Caenorhabditis elegans: one gene and its partner. The protein of the gene in region 1 interacts with the protein of each later gene in a pairwise test. Each region holds a gene or a part of one and is shown on either strand. Other genes may lie near its edges.

Region 1 (8,270 bases):
TTTTTTGAGAAAAAAACAATTTTTGTCCATTATGTGGGCGGGACCTGAACAATTTTGACGGGTTTTTTTCAAATATTTTGATCAACCAATTTGGGCGGGAAATTCAAGTTTTCTGAAAAAAGTTTTTTGGTGGGGATTCAAATTTTCCAAAAAACCATTTTAGCGGGAATTTTTTTTTTTTTTGAGAAAAACAATTTGGCCGGCAAATTCGAATTTTTTGAGATCAAAAAAAAATATTTTGACGGAAAATTCAAATTTTCCGAGTAAAAAATCAAGCCCCGCCCATTTCTGGGGCGTGGCCTTATTTGTGCCTTTTTTTTAGTAAAAAAACTTTTTTTTGCAAAATTTTCAGAATTTTTTTTTTGCTCAACAAAACCCACCAAATCCGGATTCCTCCTCGTCAGCAGCGAAATATCGTCCATATTAACCCTCTGACGTCCGGCGTGAGCCACAAATCTCGCCAAATCGTCTGCCCAGTCTTGTGCAACCGTATCCCAGACGAGAGCTCCGACTTGACTGACCACGTCCTCTTCGACCACCATATCCAGACCGTTTCGCTCGCCGGCTCGCAGAGCAACCGAGTCGGCGGTTTTGAGCACACCGAGTTGTAGAGCACCTTTTAGTTCCTATTGGAAAAGGAGAAAAGGTGAAAATTTGGGGATAGCTTCCGCATCCCCGGTGGCAAATGCGCTCTATGGCCAATTGTTGGAGCAAAATCAATATTTAAAGGCTAGTAACCTTTGAATATCGATTTTCGCACGTGGTGTCAGAGTGTCTCATTTCGGCTTGATCTCCGTAGATCTACAAAAAATGCGCGGGAGCAGAGACGTAGAGAGTTTTCAACTGAATTCCCGCATTTTTTTTGTAGATCAAACCGTAATGGGACAGCCAGAAACCACGTCATTTTGAACCACCAATCAGAATAGCAACGCAGAAGCCACTACATATTCGGTAACTTGTGGCATGTTTCCCGGGAAAAATTGAAAATTTGGGCATAGCTTCCGCATTTCCGGTGGCAAATGCGCTCTATTGCCGATTGTTGGGGTAAAATCGATAAAAATCGATTTTTGCACCACCAATCAGCTATAGAAAGGCAGAAGCCATCGAATTCAAAAGAGATCAGCTAAATTAAACTTTATTCTGTATAAATGATTTTTTCGACATTGGTGAGATACATTTGTTTGTAGGTGAAATGGTGAAATGCTAGAAAATGCGATTTAAAAAATTATTGCGAGACAAGAAACTGTAAAAGAGAGAGATACGTCTAAAATCTGAAGCTCGAGGGGGGTGGGGAAGGAATCACAGCCAAGAAAGAAAAATCGATAGAAAAATCGAAAAATCGATAAAAGTGGTAGGATACCGGAAAACATACACAAACTAATTACACTTGTTTTGTTGTTATTTAAAAAAAAAACATTGAGATGAACTAAATCGTTGCGAGACCCAGGAACTCCGCAGCTACAGTAACCATGGTAGCTGCAAAGTTTCGGTCGTGTCGAGACCACATGCCGTGCGCCAAGGGTACAGTAACCACTTTTTGAAGGCGCAGGCACGTATCGAAAATGAAAGAGTCGTATGTGTTGATTTACGCGCCTCGTGTAGTCCCCGAGGAGAAGATTTCTCGAGAATTCTCGATTTTGGGCAATTTTCTGTTGTTTTTGTATTTAACCTTAAATCGGTTTTTATTCAATGCGTTTTAGGAGAAAATCCTTTTTTTTCAGAAAAAATTAAAAAATCTATAATTGGCGATTTTCAAAAAAAAAATCGATAATTGCCGATTTCCAAAAAATCGATAATTGCCGATTTCCAAAAAATCGATAATTGCCGATTTTCAAGAATATCGATAATTGCCGATTTTCAAAAAAAAATCGATAATTGCCGATTTTCAAGAATATCGATAATTGGCGATTTTCAAAAAAATCGATAATTGGCGATTTTCAAAAAAATCGATAATTGCCGATTTTCAAAAAATCGATTATTGCCGATTTTCAAAAAAAAATCGATAATTGCCGATTTTCAAAAAGATCGATAATTGCCGATTTTCAAAAAAATCGATAATTGCCGATTTTCAAAAAAAATCGATAATTGCCGATTTTCAAAAAAAAATCGATAGTTGCCGATTTTCAAAAAGATCGATAATTGCTGATTTTCAAAAAAATCGATAATTGCCGATTTTCAAAAAAAATCGATAATGGCCGATTTTCAAAAAAATCGATAATTGGCGATTTTCAACAAAAATTGGTAATTTATATTGTTTTATGAGAAAAATAATTTTTTGTCAGAAAAAAAAACATAGATTTTCACACAAAACACTATGAATAGGTGTGGTGTTTTGTCAGAGTGTCTCTCATTTCGGCTTGATCTACGTAGATCTACAAAAAATGCGGGAGAAGATCTTCTCTCGAGACGCAGAGTTCTCAATTGATGGTTAAGAACGTGCTGACGTCACATTTTTTGGGCTAAAAAAATCCCGAATTTTTTGTAGATCAAACCGTAAGGGGACAGGCGCGGCGCCACCACGTGTAGACGCGATTTGAATGCAAAATACACCACGAAATTGAGGAGGAGTACACGAGCCGCGTAAATCTAACGCAACGAGTTTTTTTTTTTTTTAATTTAAGAAATTAAATTTTCTCAAATTTTCTGCAGAATCACAAGAATCGGAAATTTCTCGTCCTTCTCCTCTCCGTCCATCCAAATTCGTCCGATTTTCTGCTCCAACGCCAAATTGAGATCCGGCTCGATGCAAACCGTGAACTCGTCACTCCACACAGTGCCAACATAGTCCAAAAACTTTTGCAAACTTTGCTTCCGGCGGGGGCTCGACAAAATCGCTCGGCCACTGGGCCGAAGGTGCGAGTGAATGCATTTCATGAGAGATTCGTGGTGCTCCGAGAAGAATACACAGTCCGCCGCGAGAATCGTGTCAAAGGTGTGCTGCTGCTGGAGCTCTTGTGCGCCCCAAATCAACTGCCGCACGTGGCAGCAGCGATCCAACGACGAGTTTGAATTTCGAATCTTTTCCAGAGAACGCACGGATTCCATGTTACCATCTGTAACCCAGACACTCGAATCGGGAACCTTGCATGCAATCAGAATGCTTGAAAGTCCCAAGAAGCCAGCGCCAAGCTCTAGGATTCTCCTGTGGCCACCACCATCACCGTCGCCAAGGCTGGGACCAAGGATCTTGTTGGGATCCCGTAGGATGGTCCAGGCGAGTGCCTCACTTCCAGGCCAGATCCTCACATTTCCAGTGTTGTCAAATCCCGACGCAAGGGTGTCCAAGGAGACTGCAGGGGTTGGTGGGAAGAATTTGAAGATTCGAAGAAACGAATCGTCATCGGAATCCGAGGAAGATGAATCAAAGGAAGACGGAGGAGAAGCAGCTCGTTCACAAATCCACATGCAATCACCAACACGTTTCACGTCAAACAATATCAGAGAATCAGTAGTGGATGAGGGACCGCCGCCGCCGACTCGGCTCAACGTTTCCCGTAGCCGCTCCGAGAAGACTGACCAATTGCGCCGGGCACGTGTTGATGACGTGGATGAGGGGGCCGATGACGTGGCAGATGATGTGCAAGTGGAGCCCCGGCTCAATTTGAGATGGATCTATATTATGTACATCTTAGGGGGATTGTTCTGTGTTAGGGGAGGGGGGGGGGGGGGTCTAGTACTACTTTTTTTTCTAATTTTTTAAATGGAAAATTTCAAATTTCAAAAAACGAACCTTTTCATCTATGAAATCACCCTCTTCCCACGCGTTCTTCTCGTCGTCTGCGTCTGGAATTTTTTTTTGTTGGGAATTTTCGAAAACTTTGGTGGAAATTTTGAATTTTGAAAAAATCTGGCGCAAAAATGAAATTTTAATTTACGGGAATTCAAAATTTTGAAAAAAAAAACACATTTTTTGGTGAGAAATTTAAATTTTCAACAAAAAAATTTGGCGGGAGTTAAAATTTTGAACTTTTTTTGAATTTCGAAATTCAAATTTTTTGAGTACTGTAGGGGTACTGTAGGAGTACTGTAGGGGTACTGTAGGGGTACTGTAGGGGTACTGTAGGGGTACTGTGGGAGTACTGTAGGGGGAGTGTAGGGGTACTGTAGGGGTGCTGTGTTAGTACTGTACTGGTCTATAAGAGAACTGTAGGGATACTGTAGGGGTACTGTATGGGTACTGTAGAAGTACAGTAGGGGTACGGTAGGAGTACTGTAGGAGTACTATAGGGGTACTATAGGGACACTGTAGGTGTACTGTAGCAGTACTGAAGGGGTACTGTAGGGGTACTGTACAGCTCCTAAATTTTTGGCGGGAAATTTAAATACTTTGAAAACATTTTTGGGGGGAAATCCAATTTTTTTCAAAATTTCTGGCGCACGATTAAAATTGAATTTTTCAAACAAATGTTGTTGAGGATAATTTGAATTTTTTATTTCCAAATTTTTGGCGCGAAATTCGAAATTTGGGGGGAAATTAATGTTTTGGAAAAAAAAAGTTTTGGACCTACTGTAACTACTACCCGTAAAATCGCTACGAGACCCCCAAAAATTACCTTTTTTCTTGCCGCCACGCGGTTGTGGTCCTCCCTTGCCCTCCACAGGGTCTCCCATTATCTGTAAAATTTGTTTTTTTTTCTGAAAATTAGAATTTTCAAATAAAATTGTTTGGAAATCGATATAAAAAGTGTTGAGAAACACTGGGGAAATGGCAAAAAATAATAAAAAAAGATTTTCCAAAAAATATGAATTATTAACAAAAAATCAACAAAATCAGTGTACAAAACAAGAAAAAATCATAGAAAAATGTGGAAAATACAGAATTTGTGACGTCGGGTGGCCTAGAAACTTGAAAAACTCTTCCAACTTCACAACCCCAAGATCACTGAATTTTCGTCAATCCGAATGATTTAAGCTTCTGCATCGTCTCCTTCTCAGCACATCCACTTCGAACAATCCGGAATCCTGATTCAACAGTCAAATCGACAATCGTTGATCCTTCACCACTGGAGATGATTGATCCGGCGTCGAGGATCAGATCGATATTCGGATGAAGATCTCGGAAATGATCGATTGATGTCGGGTTGAGTGAGGATCCACTGACGTTGGCCGATGTTTGAGCGAGCGGTTGGCCGAGTTTTCTGGAAAAAATGGGACCGGATTGGAAAATTGATAATTACTGGTTTCTGAAAAAAAAATTGAAAAATCGATAATTGCCGATTTCAAAAAAATCGATAATTGGCGATTTTCAAAAAAATCGATTATTTGCCGATTTTCAAAAAATGGATAATTACCGATTTCCAAAAAATCGATAATTGACGATTTTCCAAAAAATCGATAATTGCCGATTTCAAAAAAATCGATAATTGGCGATTTTCAAAAAAATCGATAATTGCCGATTTTCAAAAAAATCGATAATTGCCGATTTCCAAAAAATCGATAATTGGCGATTTTCAAAAAAAAATCGATAATTGCCGATTTTTCGAATTTCAAAAAATTTAGAAAAATCGATAATTATTGATTTTTCGATTTCCAAAACAACGTTATTTTTCCATTATTTACTTGCATATCGTCGAAACAATTGGGCAGTCTGGAACCCGACAGGCTACGTTAACAACTCCCGGATTAAATTCCGCCGGTAGGCATGGAAGGCGTTCGAACATTAATGTAACTGGACCGGGGAGGAGGCTGAAAATTTGTCGATACACCATATCTTACGCTCAAATTTAAATTTTTCATAAAATTTGCGCGTCAAATCTGGTGTTTTCAAGTACGCAAGCTCAAACTTCTCTCAACTTTGCGCGTAAAATCTGGTGCATTGATGGGCGGAGCCGATACACTTGATCTGACGAGCAAATTTTAATTTTTTCGATGAAAAACTGCGCGTCAGATCTGGTGCATTGGGGGCGGAGTCCATACACCATATTTTACGAGCAAATTTCCACAATTTGCGCGTCAAATCTGGTGTATTGACTCCGCAAGCTCAAATTTCTCTCAAATTTGCGCGTGAAATCTGTTGCATTGAGGGCCGAGCCAATACACCATATTTTACGAGCAGATTTTCAAAGTTTGCGCGTCAAATCTGGTGCATTGGGGACGAAGCCAATACACCATATTTTACGCGCAAATTTTAATTTTTGAAAAAATTCGCGCGTCAAATCTAGTGTTTTCGAGTCCGCAAGCTCAGTTTTTCTAAATTATGCGCGTGAAATCTGGTGCATTGGGAGGGGGCGGAGTCGATACACTTGATCTGACGAGCAAATTTTAATTTTTGAAAAAATTCGCGCGTCAAATCTAGTGTTTTCGAGTCCGCAAGCTCAGTTTTTCTAAATTATGCGCGTGAAATCTGGTGCATTGGGGGCGGAGCCAATACACCATATTTTACGAGCAAATTTCCAAAAAATTGCGCGTCAAATCTGGTGTTTTCAAGAGCTCCGCTGAGCTCCAAATTTTCTATACGAACCAATTCGCTAGCTCATCGGAAATCGTCTGCCTTGAGACGAGCTTCATCGCCGTCGGGCTCGGCAGAAAAATGCCGAGCGGCTTCTCGTACGGCCGTTGTTTCAACGCGTAGAGCCTGTCAGAGTACTGTAGTAGGGTGGAGATTCCGTAGAGAGTGTCGGTTGGTAGGGCGACGATTCCTGGAGAGGAGAATTGGTCGAAGGGGTACTAGGGCTTCCAGGCAGGCAGTGAAATGCCTGCCTGTCTCCCGCCTGCCTGCCTATCGCCTCAATTGGCGGCGCCTTATTACTAGAATTGAGAAAATTCGAAAATTGTAAATTCTTAAAAATGAAAAAAAGAGCGAAATGTCGGGGTGAGGCAGGCAGGCATCAGGCAGGCGGCGCCTGCCTACCATGAAAGCCCTAGGGAGTACGGTAGGGGTACTGTAGGAGGCGGGGTGCTAACCTCCTCTCAGAAATACGCAAACCGCCGCGTCAATTGCCTCCTCAATGTTGTCGGCGGTGAGCCGTAGAATTCGGCCGCCGGCTGTCATTTTTTTTTGGAATGCTGAAAATTTGTACTCCTCTCGGAAAATCCTAATTTTCGAAAATTTGAATTTTTGCATAATTTTTTGGCTTTAATTTTCGTGTAGTCCTCTCGGACAACTTGAATTTTCAAAATTAGGAATTCGAATATTTTCGAAATGAATTGTACTCCTCTCGGAAAATCGAAATTAGATTTTTTTAAAATTTTTTCGAAATGAATTGTACTCCTTTCGGACGATCGAAATCAGGTTTTTTTTTTCAATTTTCTCGAAACAAATTGTAGTCCACTCGGAAAATCGAAAATTGAATTTTCAAAATTCGGAATTCGAATTTTTTCGAAATGAATTGTACTCCTCTCGGAAAATCGAAAGTAGATTTTTTTTAAAATTTTTTCGAAATGAATTGTACTCCTCTCGGACAACCTGAATTTTCAAAATTTTGTGTAGTCCTCTCGGACAACCTGAATTTTCAAAATTTTGTTTTCGTCTTTTTCAAAAAAAAATTGTACTCCTTTCGGACGATCCGAATTTTAAGAAATTTTGGTTTGAAAATTAGCTTATCAAAAATTTGAAAATTTCGTGTACTCCTCTCGGACAAACAAAATTTGCAAAATTCGAACTTTTCTGTTTGTGTTTGTGGGTTTTTGCAATATATATTTTTTTTAATCTAAATTCGATTTTCCTGAAAATGTAATTTAAGAAAGATAGAAAATTGGCTGTGGTAGTAAACCATAAAATTGGAGAAAAAAATCGAAAAAAAAAATCAATAAAATTCGTACATATGTATATGTTTAAATCAAACTTTCGAGAAAAAAAAGGGGAATTTATGAGCCGAAAAAGGTATAGAGAATTAAAAGAAATTAGAAAATTTTCAAAAATAATATTTTAAAACAAAAAACCTGAGATATTCTGGGCGGGGGAGATGTAATAATAATGGAAGAGATAATTCAACCGAGATTCAAAAAAAAGGTACACTGTGACGTCATCAGGGGGGGGGGGGGGGGTTGAAATCGTGATGCAAGCGCGCTCCACGGCCAAAAATTTGAATTCCTCGTGTTTTTATTGAGGTCTCATTTCAGCTTGATCTACGTTGATCTACAAAAAATGCGGGAGAAGAGATACAAGAGAGTTCTCAACTGATTTCGCATGGTTAAGAACGTGCTGACGTCATACTTTTTTACTTTTTGTGCAAAAAATTCCCGCATTTTTTGTAGATCAAACCGTTATGGGACAGCCTGGCTGGCACCACATGGCACAAAAAAAAACGAAAAATGATTGCCGTGGAGCG
Region 2 (5,980 bases), on another chromosome or scaffold:
AAAAATGATTGAAATTCTCACAGTTCTCAATTCATATTGGAAATATTTTCAAAGGAACTTGCGAAGTAAGGAAAGAATAAAACGGTGAATTGTTGCATTGTGTTTTCGAGAATATTGGAGTTTTCTTATTCTTTCAAGAGGTAAACTTTTGTTTTATTTTCAGGGAAGGGAGTCCAACGTTTCCGAAAAACATATAAAACCATATTGGTGAAGAATTAAAATTAAATCATCTATTTAAATTAGATAGTTTAACCCAATAAATATGTTTTCATATGGTGTAGATAGACCTTCCATGCAGGTACAAAATGCCTATACGCCTGCCTAAAGACAATACAACTTTAAAAAGTACCTGGACATACTTAACCACAAATATATTTTAAGTCTGATAACTTTCTTTGCTGTAAAGTAAGTCTAGGTAGTCTTCATAGCTATAATTAATCGGATCGTCAATTTGAACTAATCCAAACTTTCATGAAATGCTTCTGTTGCTGGAGGTCTAAGATCTACTGTCAAAAAACCAATTTGAAAACTAATCAGGAAAATAAGTTATCAAAAAGCTACTTTTTATGGGTATGTTTCGAGAGGAAAAAACAACACAAAAAAGGCAAAATAGTGAATAATCGAATGCCTCAATTGTTATAGTTATGGAACCAGACCGATTTGTGACGGAAATTGTTGTCGTAATCGGTTTTATGACACACTGCGCACGGTGAATTCGGAGAAATTTCAAATTATGAATTCAAAATTCAGGTTTCAAAAGTGAAAGTGATATTGACAAGAAGGCAGGGGGATATCAATTTTGTTATCAATTGAATATTGACATATTGAAAATGAAAAGCAGGTTGAAAGAAAAGAAGATGTTGAGTCAAGGGTGACCAAGGTTTCAAGGCACAATAGATTCCTATCGGAAACTGGTTTTTTGTTGAAAAGTTAAGCGGGACGATGAGAGGTAGTAGAATTGGTAAACGAGTGACAAGTAAAATTTTTGATATCGAATATAGCTATAATTGCAATCGTACTGACCCCTAGGTGTTAAAGGCTAATCTGCTTAAAAAAAAGCCAAAAATTGAATGTACATATATCTACTTTATTTGGGTATTTCTACCTCTAAAATATGGAAGTGCATCGTCTTAAATTAAAAGATGGTGACGCATAACGGATGTTTATTTTAGGATAATTTTAAATGATAACAAATGTTTGAAGATGGAAAATACTTTCAAAATAACGCCAAGTCCTTACCAAACTTCTTCTTTATCAATGGAAAAATAAACTTTAAAATAGAACAGATACTATAAGTTAGAATAACACCGTATCAGAGGCTTAGAGTGAGATATTAGACTAACTTGAGACTTAATACCTATGGTCTTAAGATCTAGAGTACAGTGCAATCGTTATCACTGTTCTTTTTTCCGGCGGACGGGAACAAGCCGCCGCCACTATGCTCATAGAATGACGAGAGAGGAGTAAGAGCGGAAGAAGGAGCATCCCCTCCGAATGCCGTTTAGACTTTTCCACTCCTTACTCCGATCATCGTCAAAAAGAAGATCAATCACTGGTTTTCGGCCGCGGGGCGCGAAGCCTCCCCCTTCCCGATCAGAGTCTCGTCAACTTCAATAGTCTCTCGATGACAATACAAACTGCGCATGCTAGACTTCAATTCTATCTCAATTTCTCTCTTCTCTACAGTTTTTCTCGCCTTCGACCACTGTACTGTATCTTCTGAATCAAAGAGTAAAAAACCAACGAGTGTGACTGATTGACGCCGTCACCACTAAAAATGCCAAATTGCAGGATGGCATCTATTTCAAATTAAACTTATACATAGCTTATGCTTAACTTAACTTAACTTATTAAACTTATATTAAATAGTGGAAATTCTTGTCAAGTTTTGCTTTAACAAAACTTTGATTCAACCAAGGCCAATCTTTGAACAAAACTTATCTTGTGTCGCTTTTGGAAAGACATGGGGAAATGTTGGATTGAACTCGGTCGGAACTTCGGCGCGGCCTAAACAAATTCAACTTTTGCCAAAGTTACCCAACTTCCGAAGAAAGTTATATTTATGGGCAAAAGAAATTGTCGCCGAATGCCGAGCAAACATATTTCAAACTGACAACTTTAGATTCTGACCTTTTTTCTATACTTTATCCTGGAATTAGATCTTAGTTAACTTCAGTTGTGCAAGTTGAATTTAGAAACAACAATCGTAATTTTCAAATTTTGATTGTATCAATTAATTGGGTAGGTTCAACTTTGAAAACCTTAGACTTTCAAACTTGCACTAAGTCTCTGTTCTGTTGCTTTCCGGTTGGAGCTCAATATGTGTGCAAACAATGACCACAGTATTGGTCAGTCTCGATGCTCTTCCACTTCAACTATTTTTTGCCGATTCTCTTTCTTTGAAAAAACAAACATTCGATACTCTGAATTCTAAAACTCCGATTGAAATGATTGTGTGACACGAAAATCAAATGGAACTGATCAGGCGGCTTCTGTGACTCATGTTTTTCGCAAACTCGCAAGTGGTTAAACAATTTGTGTGGAACACATTTCATAAGTTAGTTTTATACAGAATTATAAAGAAAACAAGAAGATCGGTAGTTAAAGAGATGATTTTTTTAGATTGCAAAATCGAGCATTAGCTGAGCGATGACTCGTTTCAAGTGTTCTTTTGTGACGTGGCGGCTTCCAGTGTTGGCAGCGGACTGTGCGGCTCGAGCTACCGACTCCTGAAATTTTAAGTTATTTTAAAAAATTGTAAAATAAATTTTTTTAAATAAGAGTAAAAATTCAAAAAATCATATTAATCACCTGTGCAAGCAAATTGATAAGAGCTGTGAGAACAGCTAGTGCATCCGGATCCAAGTTCAACCGTTTCTTGCCTCGCCGAGCCACAATCAACATCGATCTTACTGTAGACTGTTTGATGTGCATTACCATGATTGAAATTCTGAAATCTTACTAATTACACAGATATACGCGAGAAGTCTGAAATTTCAGGAAGTAGATAATAACGAGAATTTATAACTGGATTACTGTATTCAAATAAAAATCTTCTATCCCGTTATTTGAAACAAACAAGTTATTTATTTAAAGAAATCGTAGGGAAATGTGGATGAGACCTGGGAAAAATAGGAAAAAAAAACAAATTGAACAAATTCAAATATTATTCCATTCGAAACGGGAAGTCTGAAGGAAGTGTGAATCTGAATGGTTCCACATATGGCATATCCATCGTGGCAAGAAGCATTGTCAAGTCGGTTTTCAGTTTATTGGTTGACTTTTGCAGTTTTTCCATCATATTTTTTAAGCTGTCCATCTTCCGATCACATGTTTTGATAGCGTCTTGAAGCTTCATCTCCACATAAACATCGTCACACAGCTTAACAACCACATGCTTCGTGTCTCTCCTTAAATTCAAAAATAAAAGTAGTAGTTATAATAAGTATCTTACACTTCAATATTCATAAAAACTCTCTGTCCCAGTTCGGTCTTTCCTTCTGTTGTTTTTGGAGCCTCATTCTAGAAAAAAAGATGATTTAGGTCTAACTTTGAACTCTTTACCAGAAGCCGTTGACATGTGAACTTGAGTTTTGCATACTCCTCGCACTGTTTTTGCAACTTTTTGAATTCCTTCTCCTCAGTTGCAATTTTAGGATGAATAACATTTCTGTAAATAATTGTCAATTATTTATTCCGATTCGATTGATGTACTCACTCTGACAAATCTTCCAAATACTTCATGTATCTTTCCTGTGCAGAGACATAGTTTTCCATTTGAGCTGAATACATTTTTTGGAGAAGGTATTCAAAAATTTATAAAAATAGTAGGTTTTATGCAATAACCTCTTTCAGAAAAAAAAACAAATTTAATATAGGGGGTAAAATCATGCTTCATTTTTTGTACATAAATGAGAAAAATATAAAAACCGGAATAAAAGATCCTTGGCTACTCGGCAACAAAATCAGGACGGCGGAATGTAGCAATTACAAGCTTGAAAGACACGAAAACTCCCTCGATTTCTGTACGATCCTGGAAAATACTTAATCAGTATTAGCAGAATTTACCCTATTCAATTTCTTACCAAATTATTTTTGTATTTGATTTCTTCCAAATGATGATTTCCATCCATCATCGGAGCAACTTTTACGAAAAGGCTCAACGTTCGTTTGACACTGGCATAAGATGTAGTTTCGAGCATTTCAGCACAAATATCCGCTACAACTCCCTTCACGTCATTTGGTAATGTGCTTTCCTCGATGATTTTCGTAAACTCAGCGGGACATGGCTCTTTTGGTTCTGGTAGGATCGCGATCGAGTACGGTTTCAGAATATAGTAAAATTGATGCAACTGCATGAGCATTTGATGACGAAGCAAAGCAACGACAAGCTTCGCACGAACTCCCTGTTCGTGTAGAGGAAGGTTTTTTCGGATAAACGTATCCAGTGTTTTTGGGGGATTGAAATGAGCCAGCCCGGCAGCCAAGTGAATGGTATTGCCGAATTGAGCTGTGAACTTCTCTGCCATTCTGTAACTTGTTGAATTTCAATGTAACAATAAAATCCTTGACTAATCAAAATGTTCTATGAAAATAGTGATTTTGTTTTGAATTTATAAAATATAGTTTAAAAAACAAAAAAATTGCTCACTTATCAAGAGGTTGTGGACTTGTTGCAGATGTATAGATGTTTGTATTACATAAAGGATAAATGAGAATAGCACGTGTCCATTGCAGTAAGTGTCGAATGATCATGAAAACTTCAAAAATCGGGATTCCAGACGCCGTTGACATATCCAAAATTGAACGATCCGGACTACAATGACTGAGAAGTTTAGCAACAATCGGATTTGCATCTGGAGTTGGCCACACATCTTCGAGAAGCAAAATTCCGTGATAAGGTCTGAAAAATAGTTTTTGTAGTTCCAAAAAATGGGTTATTATAGGAAAAACTCACTTCATTTTTCTGACGATTTCATCGATTTCCTGCCTTCCTTTCGGCACTACATTTAACTTCGTCAAGGCATGTGCTTCATCACAAAATCCAAGTTCCACAAAATTTATGAGATATTTCTGGAAATGTTTTTTTAAGTCTAGATTGAATTTTATCATCCATTCGCGTAAAGTGATACTACTAGGTGCTTAAATGGTACATGATAAATTCTGTTTTTCTGAACAGGTTAGAATTTAAAATTTCAAAAGTTTTTTTTCTACATCAAATGAACAAATCTGTAAAGTCTGGCACCCTGATATCGTGACAAGACCACCATGGGAAAAATGCGTGTTCCTTTGAAATGACATGTCAAAAATATCGCGAAATTACAATAAATATTGTAATCAAAATCTGATAGAACCTTTAGTGGAAACAAATCTGAATTTAAAAGAATTTGAATCTTACATGAATATTTCCTCGATTTCGCACTTCTTCAAACATTTCAGCCAATGGTTGAACTATGAAACTAGTCTTTGCGAACTCTTCCAGAGGATGATCTTTATTAGGTTCTTCAGCATTATCTGCCCACTTGTCCTCTCGTTCCAGAAATCCAAAATAGTTTTGGAGCATGACCAAACTGACTGCAATCTTATTCGAAAGTGTTTGATATGCGGACGCTGTGTGCTGTTCACATCCGTTTTTAAGTGCAAAAACAATCGAAATCTGATAGTTGGTGGATTCACCACGTGCTTTCCATGTCTTCGGATATGCAACGAATCTTTGATTATTGATCTTCATATCGAACCCATCGTTACACGCAATTTCTTGAGTTTTGAACACATAAGCAAGCATTCCGAGAGACATGTCGAATTCTGTATCCACACGTCCGAAACCATAACTTGGACTGAAATTTTGAACGTTTGAATATTTAAATTTAAATATTCGGATTTAAACGAACTCTTTGACACTTGTAAGAACTGGCTTCACACATTGTCCTGGATTAGAGCTGGAAGGTTGTGGATCTTTCGATGGAGCTGAAAATGTTTT

What was found.
Region 2: the proteins of Y48E1C.1 (region 1) and F35H10.5 interact in a two-hybrid assay, tested with the Caenorhabditis elegans proteins (one large-scale study listed by BioGRID).

Annotation. Positions count from the first base shown.
Region 1 is NC_003280.10:13,411,370-13,419,639, reverse strand, and holds the start of Y48E1C.1 (Centromere protein S), read right to left. Parts: upstream 4,615-8,270; 5' UTR 4,612-4,614; coding exon 4,554-4,611; intron 3,784-4,553; coding exon 3,731-3,783; intron 3,613-3,730; exon of another isoform or gene 627-3,612; coding exon 381-626; intron 1-380. Other genes in the region: Y48C3A.18 (Threonylcarbamoyl-AMP synthase), read right to left, coding at 4,880-5,138, 5,560-5,685, 6,461-6,638, 6,904-6,991.
Region 2 is NC_003282.8:8,297,738-8,303,717, reverse strand, and holds F35H10.5 (Centromere protein X), read right to left. Parts: upstream 2,951-5,980; 5' UTR 2,941-2,950; coding exon 2,812-2,940; intron 2,730-2,811; coding exon 2,619-2,729; 3' UTR 2,553-2,618; downstream 1-2,552. Other genes in the region: F35H10.6 (Spindle and kinetochore-associated protein 2), read right to left, coding at 3,167-3,410, 3,455-3,522, 3,565-3,670, 3,719-3,777; nprl-3 (GATOR complex protein NPRL3), read right to left, coding at 3,950-4,033, 4,086-4,530, 4,652-4,903, 4,958-5,073, 5,399-5,837, 5,892-5,967.